4 linked regions of the Arabidopsis thaliana genome follow. Each later gene encodes a partner of the first gene's protein in a complex. Each region holds a gene or a part of one and is shown in the gene's direction. Other genes may lie near its edges.

Region 1 (2,721 bases):
AAATTTCATTGTTGTCAGTATTGACATGTAAAATGGGACTCTATCTTTATTCTCGTCCGATTAATTAAGTTCCATCAAGGATCTATCAGACTATGAAGTGAATAATTTTATTTTAATCAAGAAATATTATTTCTTAAACTTCGAATTGATTCACAACATTTTGATTTTGTTTATAAAAAAATAGAAATCGAGATTCAGGTCGTCATTTTTGAGATCGTTTTGTGTTACCTAAATTTATACAATATAGGTTTTTATCCTTCATCCTTTTTGATTTGAAGTTTCGATCGAAGGATTCCTTTATGAACACAAGGTAGTGAACTCCATTTGTTAGAACAGCTTCCATTGAGTCTCTGCACCTATCCCTTTTTTCGCGCTTTGTAAACTCCGGTTTGTTCGCGTAAACCAGGATTTGGCTCAGGATTGCCCATTGTTAATTCCAGGGTTTCTCTGAATTTGAAAGTTATCACTTAGTAGGTTTCCATACCAAGGCTCAATCCAATTAAGTCCGTAGCGTCTACCAATTCCGCCATATCCCCTTTTTTAGGATCTCATTATGATGTCTTTCCTTTTTTTTCTTATGCCGAAACCTCGGGATTCATTACATTATAGATACTTATTTTATGTCTTTGTTATCTTCTTTTATTTTTTTGAGCTCCATCCATATTGATTTAGTCTAATCAACAAAGATTCTATCATTTTTGTATTTGCAATTCAATATGGTTATATATTACATAACATATATATGTTCTTTTTTTTTTCATCTTTGGCTTAAATTTTCAGAAATAGTCGAACGGTCGATTCTTTTTTTTTTTTTTACTTTCATGAAAAGAAATTTATTATTATTATTATTGAAACTTAGAATTCTACAATGTGCAATGGAAAAAAATTATAAGTCTACTTCGTAAATTTGAAATTCTAATAATTCTATACTATTCTATGACTATATAGATATATATATAGAATTAAGGTTATGTTTTATTTATTTAATGATGAATGATAGTCACTATTTATGTGAGCTATATTCTGTTCTAGAATATATAGAATATCATTAATTCTAACTAGATAAGGAAAAATATTAATAGAATAGTTAATTGATACGATCTAGTAGTTTAGTGAATTTGTATGCATGCGCTATTTTATTTGAGCCCGCTTAGCTCAGAGGTTAGAGCATCGCATTTGTAATGCGATGGTCATCGGTTCGATTCCGATAGCCGGCTTTTCCATATTTTTTCGTTTTTTTTTACATGATTTTTAATGTACTTTCAAAATCAAAGAAGATTGAAAAGACTTCTTTGACCTTTTTCCAAGAGTTACCACTCCATTTATATTATGTCATATAAACTTCCATATTAGGAATATATATTGGGTAAAAGAGTTTGATCTTTGCAAAATTAATCAAGAAAATAAAGGAAAATTTTTGTGATTTAGTTGATTTATATATATTGTATATACAATAAAAAAAATCTGTATATTGAGAGAATATATCTTCTTACTCTTTGTATTCCAATAGTGGAGTGTATTTCACGTCATTTATCATTATCATTTAGTTCAGTTTTAATTTTATTTAGTTTTGTACAATTTCAATCAAAAAAGGAGTCTTTATGTCACGTTACCGAGGGCCTCGTTTTAAAAAAATACGCCGTCTGGGGGCTTTACCGGGACTAACTAGTAAAAGGCCTAAGGCAGGAAGCGATCTTAGAAACCAATCACGCTCCGTAAAAAAATCTCAATATCGTATTCGTTTAGAAGAAAAACAAAAATTGCGTTTTCATTATGGTCTTACAGAACACCAATTACTTAAATATGTGCGTATAGCCGGAAAAGCCAAGGGGTCAACAGGTCAAGTTTTACTACAATTACTTGAAATGCGTTTGGATAACATCCTTTTTCGATTGGGTATGGCTTTGACTATTCCTCAAGCGCGCCAATTAGTTAATCATGGACATATTTTAGTTAATGGTCGTATAGTTGATATACCAAGTTATCGCTGCAAACCCCGAGATATTATTACAGTGAAGGATGAACAAAACTCTAGAACTTTGGTTCAAAATCTTCTTGATTCATCTGCCCCTGAGGAATTGCCAAACCATCTGACTCTTCACACATTCCAATATGAAGGGTTAGTCAATCAAATAATAGATAGGAAATGCGTCGGTTTGAAAATAAATGAATTGCTTGTCGTAGAATATTACTCTCGACAGACTTAATAAACCTAACTTAAGTAAAAAAAAAAATTACTAAAAACAAGAGTTCGGACAACTCCCCTTTTCCATTAAAAATAAAAAGGCACAAGGTAAGGGATTTTGTCAAAGAATATTTTTCCTATTCATGTATCATAGATTGGTAGGGAGATTGGGATCCCTTGTTTGCTCTTCCCAGCATTTTCCATATGAAAGAAATTAGGAATAGAGAATCTATTTCAAAATCAAAACAAGGTAGATCTTATATCGATTCTTTTTTATTGGATTTGATACATTGTGGTCAATCACGTAAGATTGGTGAATTTGTTGAAAGTACGGAAAGAGAGGGATTCGAACCCTCGGTAAACAAAAGTCTACATAACAGTTCCAATGTTACGCCTTCAACCACTCGGCCATCTCTCCGACATCAAGATTATGACTGAGTATCTGGGTGAATAGCGAGTTATTCATCGTTTTTTAGATTATGGTTAATAGATACCCTTTTTGACCGGAAAATTTGGAAGTAGATAGAAGGTTTTTT
Region 2 (4,140 bases), on another chromosome or scaffold:
ATAATTAAGGTAAAATCTACATGGGCTTCTCAGGCCCATAATGAGAAGTTTAAAAGGCTCAACTCAACAAGATTTAGTTATGCTAAGGCCTTACAAGTTACAATCAAACAGAGGATAGGGACCGTCGGATTTATCTGACTTCCTCTCCTTCGATTAGGGTTTCTGAATTACTACTCCTCTGCCAATTAGGGTTTAAGCCTCTCCAGCATTTTCTTTCAGCTCAAACCCAAGAACCTCATCGCCGATTATTTCTTCATCCTTACTCTATCCCGCGCCGATTAATCTCTCTCAGGTAAACTACTTCAATTTTACTCATAGACTAATTGTACAGAGATTGATAAATCCTATGTTGTTCCCATTAGAATGTTCAAGGGTTTATGATTATTCAGGATTTCAAATCTGAATTATTGGACAAATAAACCCTAATTTCGTATAATTTGCATATCATCAGTACCGTCCGAGATGAGAAAGCTCAAGTATCACGAGAAGAAGCTTATAAAGAAAGTAAATTTCTTAGAATGGAAAAGAGAAGGTAACCATCGGGAAAACGAGATTACGTATCGATACCACATGGGCTCTCGTGATGATTACAAAAAGTTGGTACCTTTATTTGCTCTTAAAGCTCTGTTCTACTTATTCTTCTTCTTCTGGTTCGAGTGTTTTGTGATGAACAATGGTCTTTTTCTGATTCTTGAGAATGTTTTTTCTTTTGGGCAGGTATTCAGGATTGTGTAGGATGGTGCAGAAACTGACGAATATAATGAAACAAATGGATCCAGCAGATCCTTTTCGTATTCAGATGACTGATATGCTTTTGGAGAAGCTGTGAGTTTTTTAAATATATATACCAGTTTGTTCAAGTATAGAGCTTATTACAAGCAATGGTTCTTTGTTTTCTCTAGATTTAGGTCGTAGAACATGAGACTTGATCATTTTCTGCAGTTTTTTACACCGATCTTATCTTAGAGACCTCCTGTTGTTTTTCTTGTTAACCACTTTTAGAGATAATTAAAATTGGGGGTCCTTATGCTTCTATATAGATTTTAGGACCGTTGGTTTGAAATCCATTAGAGGTTGAATTCATCCTGGTAAAATGTGTGATCTAATGGGTTTCTTTCAGAATCTGTTTCTTGAATAGCTTCTACATAGAGCTAAGTTACTATATAATATAGGCTTATTGTATAGGGAAAAAGAGCCATCCTACTGAAACTTGTTGATTGCGTAGTTCCACTCTGCAATGAGAAAACTTGTTCTCTTAATGGCTGACTGACTTGTGTTTCTTACATGTACGCTTGAAACGGCAGATATAACATGGGTGTTATACCGACTAGGAAAAGCTTGACTCTAACTGAGCGGTTATCAGTTTCATCCTTCTGTAGGTAAGAGTATATGCAAGAGCCTATATAGGCAGTTACTTAAACCCTTGATAGCCAAATGTTCTCATTTCGTTTGCCTCATATCGGTTCTTTTTTTTTATTTGCAGGCGTAGGCTATCTACTGTGCTGGTTCACCTGAAGTTTGCAGAGCACCACAAAGAAGCTGTGACATACATAGAGCAAGGACACGTTCGTGTAGGACCAGAAACAATTACTGATCCAGCTTTCTTAGTAACTCGGAACATGGAAGATTTCATCACTTGGGTTGATTCATCCAAGATTAAACGAAAGGTTCTTGAGTACAATGACACATTGGATGATTATGACATGCTTGCTTAGCTTTGAGGAAGTTAAAAAAGACTGATGTTTTGTAAAAGCCAAAAAAGGTTCACTGCTACTACTATTGCAGGGTTTGTTTGGATTTTTGAATATGCAAATGTGCTACTATTCCCTTGTCTTTAATCTTACTTTCGATCTATTTGCAAGAAGAAACTTGAAAACAAATGTCATGAAAATATTGAATCTAACTCATATTATCGTCAAATTGTATAAGTTGGAGCCACAGAAATGGATGAACATAAAATATTAAATCTAATTATTATTTGACACTTCAAATTACAAAACCCGTTTGATTCGATCCGACCCGACCCGACCAGAAAATCGCAAAACCTGTGTTTTTGCTTTCCCCGGTCTCTCAAAATAAAATTGCTCGCTTAGAAGCTTCAAACGCAGCTGAAATGGCGGTTCAAGCAAATCAGAGTGCTTCTTTTGGGTTCAGAACAGCTTCACCTTCTCAGAAGCTCTCTTCGAAACCCATAGCTCATATCTCTCTATCGACGAAGCTCAAACCCTCTTCTCGACCATCGCTTTCGTGCTCTACTTGGAATCAGGGTCAAATTCCGGCGAGACACTCCTGTATCAATCCCGGAATATTCGCATATCCCCCCTCCAATCTTACCTTCTCTCATGAACTACCAGAATCTGAATCTCCGCCACTTGGAAAGGTCAGTCATCGTCAAAAAACTTCTCTTGGAACAAATTGGGGTTATAAGCTTGTTAGACAAAGTTGCAGCCTTTTTTTGTCATTTGAACGAAAATGTGGTAAACCAAATGTATTGTCTCCATCTATTTAATTGTGGTAGAAGAGGCAGTGTGTGCTAGTGTTAAACCTCCCTTATGTTGCTTCATTGTGAAAACTTTTGTGAAAGGAAGTAGAGATGTATGATTCTTCCCTTGTTATCGTCATCTTATATTGCAGAAGAAGATGCGTGTGTTAGTGAAGCCGCTAGAGAAACCAAAGGTGGTACTGAAGTTTGTATGGATGCAAAAGGACATAGGAGTTGCATTAGACCATATGATTCCAGGATTTGGAACAATCCCACTTAGTCCATACTACTTCTGGCCTAGGAAAGATGCTTGGGAAGAGCTCAAAACTTTGTTAGAGAGCAAGCCTTGGATCTCTGAGCTTCATCGTGTCTTCCTCCTTAACCAAGCTACAGACATCATCAATCTTTGGCAATCAAGCGGTGGAGATTTGTCTTGATTTGGATTCACCAGATATATCTGTTTATCATAGGTATCATTAACTTTTCAAAGTCTAAAGCTTTTGTGTTGTTTAGTCTATCATTAGTCCTCTGTGTAATCATCGAAACTCGAAAAAACTTCTATCATTAAAATGGCGAATTCAAAACAAGAAAACAAAAGATCATCATCATCATCATGATGAACGTTTAATCGAAGTACTTAGACATTTGAATCGATTTATTACTCATCCCACATTTCTCATAGAACACTTTGTTCTCCACACTACAATCTAGAATCACCTTATAGCAACCCATTGATTTGCAATGATCCATAAGAAACTCAACAACTTTCTTCCCCAGCTGTTTCCCGCGAAACCTTGAATCCACAACAACGTCTTCAATGTGCCCAGCTTTACCGCAATTCCTCAGAAACTTCTTCTCTATCATCACACTACCCGTAGCAGCGATTTTTCCCGAAGTTTCTTCTTCGATCACGCAGATCACGTGGTCGTCACCATACGATCTGATTTCTTCGAATCGCCGATCGAATTCTTCGTCTGTTACTGATCCGGTGACGGTTAGTTGACCTAGAAGCTCGATGAATCCTTTTCTCTTATCGGAGATCTCCAGTTTTCGGATCTTGAATGTCTCAGCCATAGAATCAGATCGGATAATTTTGAATTTGAGTTTTTTTTTATAAGATCCAGTCACTCACTGGAACTGAATATAATCACCCATAGAAAAACAAATGTGATAATTACGAAAAGGTACTTATTCTTTTAGATAGTTACAAAAAGTTTCCGAATCTCTTAATGAAGTCAAAATGGGCCATTTGTTTTTTAAATTGACTTTTGATGTAACAAAAGCAGCAAGATAAAAACTCCATAGTAAACAATATTTATTGAAATGACAACAAGCCAACAAGTGAAAATGCAGAGGAAAAAAGTAACAATTTAAAGCGGATGATACATATAGATTACATAATTGGAAATGTAAGGAAAGGATTGCTAATTTAGGGTTGATGGTGACTAGAAAAGGAAGGTGAAAGAGGAGGGATTCCCGGGATGAGAGGGGCCGGAGGGATTCCAGGGATAAGAGGGACCGGAGGGATGCCAGGGAGTCCAGGGACCGGAGGGAGCGGAACAGGGAAAGAAGGTGGTGGTGGCGGTAGTGAAGGCGGATTCACGATAGGGACAGGTGGAAGAACCGGAAGAGGTGGAAGAGTCGGAATTGTTGGAATC
Region 3 (3,942 bases), on another chromosome or scaffold:
ACTATCACCAACGCTAACATTTCTATTCTTTTTGAACTTCATCAAGAGCCAAAGCCCCTGATCGGCCTCACAAAAGACACCATTTTCTTTGGTCTCCGGCAACAGAACATGGATTGGAATCAATCCCTAATCAAACCGGGTCAATTTGGCTTAGTCAAGAAACGTCCCTCTTATGTAACAGCTGTTCCAGAACGGCAGAACATTCACGAACATATAAATGGGTGTCCACTAACAAATTCAAACACATAACCATGATCACTCTGTCCTTTTTTCCATTTTTTTAAATATTCAAGTAAACAACATGTAAATTATAACGAATTTAGGTCGTCTCAACATCATGACTCATTCACATGCGTTGACTTTTAACCCACTAAACATTTTTTATAGGACCCCTCTCTCTCTCTATAAATTCGACCCCCTTTGTTGATAGATCATACAGAGAACAACAAAGAAAGAAACCAAATAAGAAGAAAAAGGAGAAGAACATTCAAATGGCACCAAGAAGTTCTTTGATCCGCTTCGCCTTCATCTGCATTGTCTTGGCCGTGATGGTCATGACTGCTGAGTCGCACAACGGAACCCACCACCATGGTCCGGCTATGGCTCCAATGCCACCCATGGCTAAGGCTCCGTCTCCAAGTGCCGCCACTTTCTCCGCCTACCCTCAGCTCATCGCCACCGCATTGGTCGCTGCTATGTCTTTCGTCTTCTGATGAGATGTGTTGCCATTCATCTTCAGAATATGTTTTACTCTCTATGAGATTTTATTTTAATTTTCACATGTATTCCTTCTTTTTTTGTTAATTCTTCAAAGATTGTGATGTTGTGTTCCTATCATAATAAAACATTTATCTCTTGATGTTTTTTTTATTATCTTAATCATATTTTCCTCTTTTTCGAACCAAATCTTCTAATCAAGGCATTATAATGGCCCGTTTGAGAAAAGGTGGACTTTCTTTTTAAAATCAACTAATTCATCTTAAGGTTATAGAATAGATAAATATCCGAAGTAAATATATAAAATAAATTGGGTCAGCCTAAACAAAATAATGAAATGCAGGCCTTACGTGACAGTAATGGGTACGCCTCAACAAATAATGGTGTATTCACTATTCAGACGTTGGTGTCAAAATCAATGAGTGATATCCTTATTAGAAGAACGACAAGCTTTAAACTAGTTTCATGTGTAAAGTACGAAACAATAAACATCATGAAAACACTCGAAATATTGTAGTAAACTTGCCAACAAAACCATGAGTACAAGTGTACAACTCCAATGAATCAGATATATATGCAAGATGGAAAAAATCCCCAAACACCTTAAAATACAACAACATGTGACAATAACGAAGTGAACGACCATCTCGATAAATAGTTAACAAGACTCATTCTCATCCGTTGACTTTTCATCTATACACTTACCATTTTTTTTATACAATCTTTTTCTATCATGACTCTATCCTCAATAGCTACGTGCCCACATGGAGCCAAGGCTCATGCCTTTCGTCTTCTGATCAAATGTGTGTCATTGATCACACCATTCATCTTAGTTGTTAAGAAAATATCTGTAAATCATTTTTTTTTTCATTTTATAGTTGTATCACTTTATTATAGTCCACTCGGTTTTTGCATTTTTGTTATAGTCCACTAGTTGGGCCGTGTTATACAATAGCGAGCCTATCTCAACAAAAAACAAAGCCCAACAAGTATTTATTTTGCCAGTTTTGTAAGCAATTAATTGAATAGAGTAAGTAGAGACGGAGCAAAAACAAGAGAAGCGTTTGGATTCGACGTTTGCCTTATCCGTTCAGCTCATCTTCTTCTTCTTCTTCGTCACCTCTGAATTAGTTTCCCAGAATCCGAAATTCCTAGGAAGAGAACATAACAATGGCGCAGATGGTTGCGATGCCCGTAGCGCACTCGCTCTCACTCATTTGCAATTGGGCAAAATCCAATCCTCTCTCTCGCAACACTCTTGCCCTCCCAGCTTCAAACACTCCCAATGTAATCATTTCTCTTGGACTCTCTCTTGCGTATGATGTTGTAATTTATCGAGCTTGACTTCATGTTTTTTTATGTGTTACTTCATTCTTGTTCGTCAATTTTTGGGTTAGGGGTGGTTATAGAACACTCCATCAATTTTTGGGGGAATTTGTCTCTGTGTTTTTAAAGTTTTTTTTTTTTTTTGTAATGAAATGCAGAAGCAGAGTCTAAGCATCAGATGTGCTCGTGTTGGTGGAGTGGAGATTCCGGCTAATAAGAGAATTGAGTACTCTCTTCAGTACATTCATGGGATTGGTCGAACTAGGGCTCGTCAGATTCTTGTTGATCTTCAGATGGAGAACAAGATTACTAAAGACATGGCTGAGGAAGAACTCATCATTCTTCGTGATGAAGTCTCCAAGTACATGATTGAGGGTGATCTGGTAATACACTTTCCCTTACATTTACACACTTTAGGACATGAGTAATGTGCATCATAGTTTCAGTTTCTGTCAGTCCATTCTCGAGCAGTTTCTTGAAGATTGGAGAAGAACTTAGGCTGCTATCTATTTGGTGTTTTCATTGCTTTAGTTTGGGTTTCCTCTTGTTTTGATTTGGTTCTTAGGCCTTTGTGAATGAATTATTGATTTGTGTTGTGGATGTTGTGCAGAGGAGGTTCAATGCTCTTGCAATCAAGAGGTTGAAGGAGATCCAGTGTTACCGTGGGGTAAGGCACATCCAAGGGCTGCCATGTCGGGGACAGAGAACCAAGAACAACTGCAGGACTCTTAAAGGCAAGAAAATTGCTATTGCAGGGAAGAAGAAAGTTTCCAAGTAATCATCTTCATGATCTCCTTCTTCTTCTGTAATACTCTTTTTAGTTTGTCTAGTCATCTCTGTTTAAATGTGATTTGTAATTCCCAAACCTTTGTTCGAACTGAGCCCTTTCCAGTTTATCTTCGGCTTTTTAGCTATTATTATTCCGTATCTTCATCATTCATTATAAAGTTACAAAAGAAGTTGAAGATTTCAGCATTCAAGAATGATGACAAACCAAGAACAAACTTGAAAATTTGGTCGAACCAAAAATGGTTTATTCAGAATACGTACATATGAATACATAAGTAACCAAAAAATAAAATTTTATAGCTTTTGCCAAAAGACTCGATCTTGGATTGTCTCTAATCCTACCCAGAAAATCTTGCTATCACACAAAAAAAAGGAAGAAAATGAATAATAACAGGGTAAAAATTTTCAGTAAGAGAACTCATGGCCGCGGAGTGAAATGTATTTCTTGACCCAAATGGCAATATCTTCGGCGCAGGCCTGTGCCTGAGGAGTCTTGAGAAGCATATCAAGTGTAGCAAACTCATGAACTGCGTCTTTGTATTCTAAAACTGGAGAATCTACGTTTACCTTTCTAAGCTCTTCTGAATAAGCAATGGCTCGGTCTCTCATCCAGTCATGCTCAGCTACTACTGTAAGTGTTGGAGGCATTAGCTTCAGAGGTGGTCCACTGCGGTTATGGGCAAGTGGGTTTGCTGCCGGGTGGTCAAAGTCGAACTCTTTCTCTGGTAAGAAGAGTTTCCAGGCTAGAACAGAGACAGGCTTATCGTAGAAGTAAGAGTTTGCCAGCTTTATTTCGGACTGTGTTGGGTTGTTTCCAATGAAAAAGGGGTACATTAGAACCTGTGCAACAACTTTCACCGGTTCTAGAAGTTTCCCAGCTTCCACTGCTTTCCGAGCTACATAGTCTGCTATGTTCCCACCACAGCTCACCCCGAGAAGAACACATCTGTTTTAACATCATATGAAGCAACAGGTTGAGACACAGAAGTTGATGTGAGATTGCAATCAATGGAAGATAAGCTATCTTAGTTCATCTAACTAGTTGTCCAAAGAATCCTGACTTTGTACCAAGTTACTCCTAGATCAACATGAAACTATTCTTAAGATCTT
Region 4 (4,718 bases), on another chromosome or scaffold:
CCGCCACGAAGACCACACTCTTCCTCTCCATCATTATCTGCTAATGTGTTGTCGTCGTCATCTTCTTCTTCGTTGTCCTCGGTTTCTTGATGTTTTGTATCTTCCTCCACTGTAACTTCCTCTGCAAGAAAGGACTCTGTTCCTATTCCATGATCAGATTTATACTCTAGCTCCAGTATCGTAGTGTAACTCTCGAAATCTCCATAATCAAAGGTTTTATCGGTATTACTCCAAATTTTCTCTATTGGTTTGGACGAAGCGACCAAACCAGAACACTTAGCAACAACCACTACGAGACCATTGCAGAGGAGGAACATGTAGTTTTTATCTACTGCGTGTGTTACGAGTTGGATCATGAACCTATATAAATAGAAGTCGTGGCTGGTTAAAAGAGATAAAATCCACATCGAAACTGCTATAAACTTGGTCAATTTCTTCAGAAACTCCGGTTTTATTTGATCCATCTCTCTGGTTTCTTTTCTTTGGTTTTGTGAGTGAATGGTGAGGACTAGAATAAGAAGAAGAAGAAGAAGGAATTAAACAGGTTAAAGTGTAATTGTGCAAAGCGTTACACTACACTCAACGGCTTTGGTATTTATAGAATTTAAGCCAAAGGCAATGGGCATCTGTGGATGATTTTACCAAACCACCCCTTGTTCTGAAGCTGCATGGCTGCATGCCACGTGTGAAGTGTGATTTCCCAGTTATGTGGATAAAAAAAAGTCTCTGTGTTTCTTCTATTGTTTGTTTGTCAACTAATCCATGTTTTCTTATGTCCTATTATTGGTTACATTGCGAAACGACCTCTGGTTAGTGTTCCAAAAGTTCCGAATCTTTTATGACCTCTGATGGAATTCGGATTTTTTTTCTTTTTATATCATCAAGCTATACATGATGACTTAGCTTTTATGGTATGTTAATGGTAAAGGAATATGACTTTTAAGTCATGTATAGCTTGATGATATATATAAAAAAAAATACTCATGATTGAGACAAATACAAACGGAATAGTAAGGGATGATTGGTCTTTGAATAGTGTGAGGGCTTGTGGACAATAATATTTAGAAGATGTCATTGTCTTTTATGTCTTTGATTGGTTTAAGTCATTTTCCTTCTTTAAATTGCATGGATTTGGCGACATCATTATGTTAATTGTTAGGCTTCTTCTACATGTATTTTGCTTTTATTAAAAAAAAATTATACTTGAACTACGCTAACACCTTATATTTCCGTGTGAGATTATGGATCACACATTTGAAGGTATATATTTACAGATTATGGATCACACAATTACAGATAAAATTAAGAACAATGCATTTAAAAGTCAAAAATCAAAACTACGGAATCCTTCCTTGATATTATTGTCTTTTGTATTCAAATTAATATTATTTTATGAGTTTGTATTATTTCATCGAATATTTATATTGTCCATTTTTTTCCACATTCATTGCATATTTTCATGGGGTTTTGTTTGTCAAGTAGTTCATTTTGTCTTCCACTTTTCTTAAATTTTCCATCTACTTCACGAATGTTTGTGTGTTGAATTTTCCAAAAGATATTTATGAGATACAAAAGAATCTTCTAAAGACAGATCACAATCCACAAGAAAGAAAATACCGAAAGACAAATGAATCATATTTTACTAGGTTAGAATATTTTTGGTCCCCAAAAGAACTATAAAATATGGGCCTAATGGGTACTTTTGGTCCCTAACAGAAACTATACAATTTGGGCCTAATGGGTATTCATTTATAATAAGCGTAGGCCTTTTAATGAATTAATGGGCTTAGAATAAATAATATCTCATCATTTAAAAAAGAGAGAAAAAGGTTTTGGATAAAATGGATAACCCTCAAGAAGAAGCTGCTGAAGAAGAAACCTCATCCTTCGAACGTTAAGAGGAAGAAGAATAAGAGAAATCGATTCGTGGTTTTGGGAAAATTCAATGGCGGTTTCTACTGTATCGTCGTTTCTATTGCCATCTTTCGGCATTCCAAGCTCTTCGCCTTCTTCTACCAGACTCAAAGTCTCTCTGCTGCCTTCATCTTCTACCCATGGCGGCCTTAGTTCCTGCGTCCTTACGAAACCATCCGTCTCGCTTACGAAGGTCTTCGCTGTTCCCGATACCCTAGATCCAACTCCAGAAATTCTCGATGAACCCGCCTCTGAGGTACACTCTTTCCTCTGTCAGTCTCGGATTCGATTGTTTGCAGAGCTAATGCGAAATTTGGGGGGGGGGGGGGAAAGACATTGTTTTGCAGAATCATTTAGCACTTTGATGTTAATTCTGTTAATAATAGTCTTTGTGTCTGTGTGATTCAGGTTCCGAGCTCTTCATCCATCAGTGTAGACGCGGATAAGGTATATTCCGTTACTGTTACAGCTCACTTACTAGAATACAGATTTTACGAGTACTTGTGCATTGGTGTGTTCTAAATTCTGTGTCCATCTTCGTCAAAACAGTAGACTTTTTTGCTTTACTACGTTTTCACAGCGCTAAAAAGTATCATATCTGTTCTAACACCAATGCCCATTGCTGTGTTAGAGGTCACTGCTAGAAATTGATACGCAAATTTTCAAATTTGATGTCTTCAATGTCTATCTTTGTCAGATCAATAGACTTCTTTGGTTTACTACGTTTTTTCAGAGCGATAAAGAGTCTCATTTGTGTGAAATGCCTTCAAGTAGATATCATCTTGTATATACAGGAAAGGAGAAGTAATTGTATAGAAATCTTGATCGTCTTTAGATGGTATCTTCATAAGATTTGCCACAATAGAGTTTTGTTTTAAGGGGTCTTGTGGAGTTTCATTGTGTTTGGTTTAATTTGATTTATTTTTGTGTTATCAGATGGCGCCAAAGCAAAAGATTAGGATCAAGCTTAGATCATACTGGGTGCCTCTTATTGAGGACTCATGCAAGCAGATACTTGATGCTGCGAGAAACACCAATGCAAAGACGATGGGTCCTGTTCCATTGCCAACCAAGAAGCGTATCTACTGTGTTCTCAAGTCTCCTCACGTTCACAAGGATGCTAGGTTCCATTTTGAAATCCGGACACACCAGCGCATGATTGATATTCTCTACCCGACTGCTCAAACTATCGATTCTTTGATGCAACTTGATCTTCCTGCTGGTGTCGATGTGGAAGTGAAGCTCTGAAGAAGAAGCGTAACTACAATGGTAACAAACAAAAAAAGTGATCTCTCTTCTTAATGGTTTTTGAATATTGATGTGTCTTAGCTACTGAAACTGCACATAGGCTCCAATATTTATCCTCAAAAACAAAACTTCATCAAATTACAATCTTTCTCTGTTGACCATCAAGATCTTGATGCTTGTTCTTAACCAAAGTGTTTTTTCTTCCTCAGATGTGATGGGCACTTTTGCATTGAATGAACAGACTGTTTCAGATCAACTACATTGCTTAGAACTGGTAAGCCTTGTATCATCTTTTTTGAGAACCTTTGTAACGAAAATGTAAGTTGTATTATCTGGTCCTTGGAATCTATCTTTAGCGATGCTTGGTTCTTAGTTGATGAACATATCCTTAATTAAGCAAGTTCAAAGGAATTTGTTTTTGTTTTACTAATTGTTATGCAGTTTGCCTGTGTCCATTATGATAAGTTTTTTTATTTTTGTTGTATTCAAAGTGGAATCTTTTTTTTGAATATAAGTATTATAGTAGTATTATAGTAGGAATAAGAAGATGCACAACTTGAGTTATTTTAAAACCAGGAGGTTGGAATCTTGAAAGCGACTTCATTATTATAATAAACGTATAAGTTCGTTTATCCACAAACTCAATAGGGAAATTATAATTTTTTGTCACAACACATTTCATTTATCAATTATCCTCTAGACTCAGTTCGTCTCTTTTCTTAGCAGCCAATTAAAACCTGCAAGTGTTGTTTTACCAGTCTTTCCTTTCCAAGCTTACGAAACGATCCAAGGGAAAAAACAGTAATGGTTTCGAATTTATGTCTGATAAGTCGATGGCGCTTTTTCTTATCTAATTTGGAATTTTGGATGATGCAGAAATTGTCAACCCCCCAATATTATAAAGTTGAAGAATATTCTTTTCCATGTTCAATCATACACACAACTATATCATTATTTTAATCATATGAAATGGTTTTTGGTATAGTAAGAAGTGGTTCATTGTAAGATAATGTCTTGACCAAAGAAGAAAGAAAACGAATAGTCGCCAAAATTGAATTTGGTTTAAGTAGATGAGACAATGATGTGGCGGTTTATAATAGTCGTTAAAGTTAAGGCATATTCCCACGATATACCAACATGGACCGTCCATTATTATTTATTTTGATTATAGTTTGTTCTCAAAAACACTCGAATAAATTGCTTTTTTTTTTCACAGCATTACTGAAATCATACATAATTTCTGCTTCCATAATCTTATATTTTACGAGATCGGTTTTATGATAAACTTTCAAGTAGTACCATTATGGGTTGTATTTTCTTTTACTACCATTTTGGGTTTATTGCAATTTGCATAAACATATTCAAAACTATTTTGCGTTCAACCAAATGGTTAAACTCTGGTTCATATTGATATACCAAAACACTCATATTGGATCAAATATGTAAGGTGATAATAACACTGATATGAACTAGTATACTATGTCTTATGAGTCACTATTTTCTCTAACTTTAATAAAAGTTTAGCTGTGATTCATTATTCGTGATTATGGTATCCT

The links.
Region 2: rps4 (region 1) and PSRP3/2 share a complex: the UniProt entries of both Arabidopsis thaliana proteins name them as parts of the 30S ribosomal subunit.
Region 3: rps4 (region 1) and EMB3137 share a complex: the UniProt entries of both Arabidopsis thaliana proteins name them as parts of the 30S ribosomal subunit.
Region 4: rps4 (region 1) and AT3G13120 share a complex: the UniProt entries of both Arabidopsis thaliana proteins name them as parts of the 30S ribosomal subunit.

What each region holds. Positions count from the first base shown.
Region 1 is NC_000932.1:44,709-47,429, reverse strand, and holds rps4 (ribosomal protein S4), read left to right. Parts: upstream 1-1,601; coding exon 1,602-2,207; downstream 2,208-2,721. UniProt on the Arabidopsis thaliana protein: One of the primary rRNA binding proteins, it binds directly to 16S rRNA where it nucleates assembly of the body of the 30S subunit. With S5 and S12 plays an important role in translational accuracy.
Region 2 is NC_003076.8:5,140,987-5,145,126, forward strand, and holds PSRP3/2 (Ribosomal protein PSRP-3/Ycf65), read left to right. Parts: upstream 1-2,003; 5' UTR 2,004-2,113; coding exon 2,114-2,380; intron 2,381-2,634; coding exon 2,635-2,919; 3' UTR 2,920-3,106; coding exon of another isoform or gene 3,107-3,556; 3' UTR 3,557-3,620; downstream 3,621-4,140. Other genes in the region: AT5G15750 (Alpha-L RNA-binding motif/Ribosomal protein S4 family protein), read left to right, coding at 463-596, 718-825, 1,305-1,379, 1,484-1,715; GNA1 (glucose-6-phosphate acetyltransferase 1), read right to left, coding at 3,107-3,556; AT5G15780 (Pollen Ole e 1 allergen and extensin family protein), read right to left, coding at 3,912-4,140. UniProt on the Arabidopsis thaliana protein: Component of the chloroplast ribosome (chloro-ribosome), a dedicated translation machinery responsible for the synthesis of chloroplast genome-encoded proteins, including proteins of the transcription and translation machinery and components of the photosynthetic apparatus.
Region 3 is NC_003076.8:4,616,718-4,620,659, reverse strand, and holds EMB3137 (Ribosomal protein S13/S18 family), read left to right. Parts: upstream 1-1,678; 5' UTR 1,679-1,887; coding exon 1,888-2,004; intron 2,005-2,201; coding exon 2,202-2,426; coding exon of another isoform or gene 2,427-2,471; exon of another isoform or gene 2,472-2,653; coding exon 2,654-2,821; 3' UTR 2,822-3,237; downstream 3,238-3,942. Other genes in the region: AT5G14330 (uncharacterized protein), read left to right, coding at 109-221, 440-713; CXE16 (carboxyesterase 16), read right to left, coding at 3,238-3,778. UniProt on the Arabidopsis thaliana protein: Located at the top of the head of the 30S subunit, it contacts several helices of the 16S rRNA.
Region 4 is NC_003074.8:4,218,754-4,223,471, reverse strand, and holds AT3G13120 (Ribosomal protein S10p/S20e family protein), read left to right. Parts: upstream 1-1,824; 5' UTR 1,825-1,945; coding exon 1,946-2,170; intron 2,171-2,322; coding exon 2,323-2,361; intron 2,362-2,850; coding exon 2,851-3,162; 3' UTR 3,163-3,183; exon of another isoform or gene 3,184-3,199; intron 3,200-3,371; 3' UTR 3,372-4,162; downstream 4,163-4,718. Other genes in the region: AT3G13130 (uncharacterized protein), read right to left, coding at 1-464.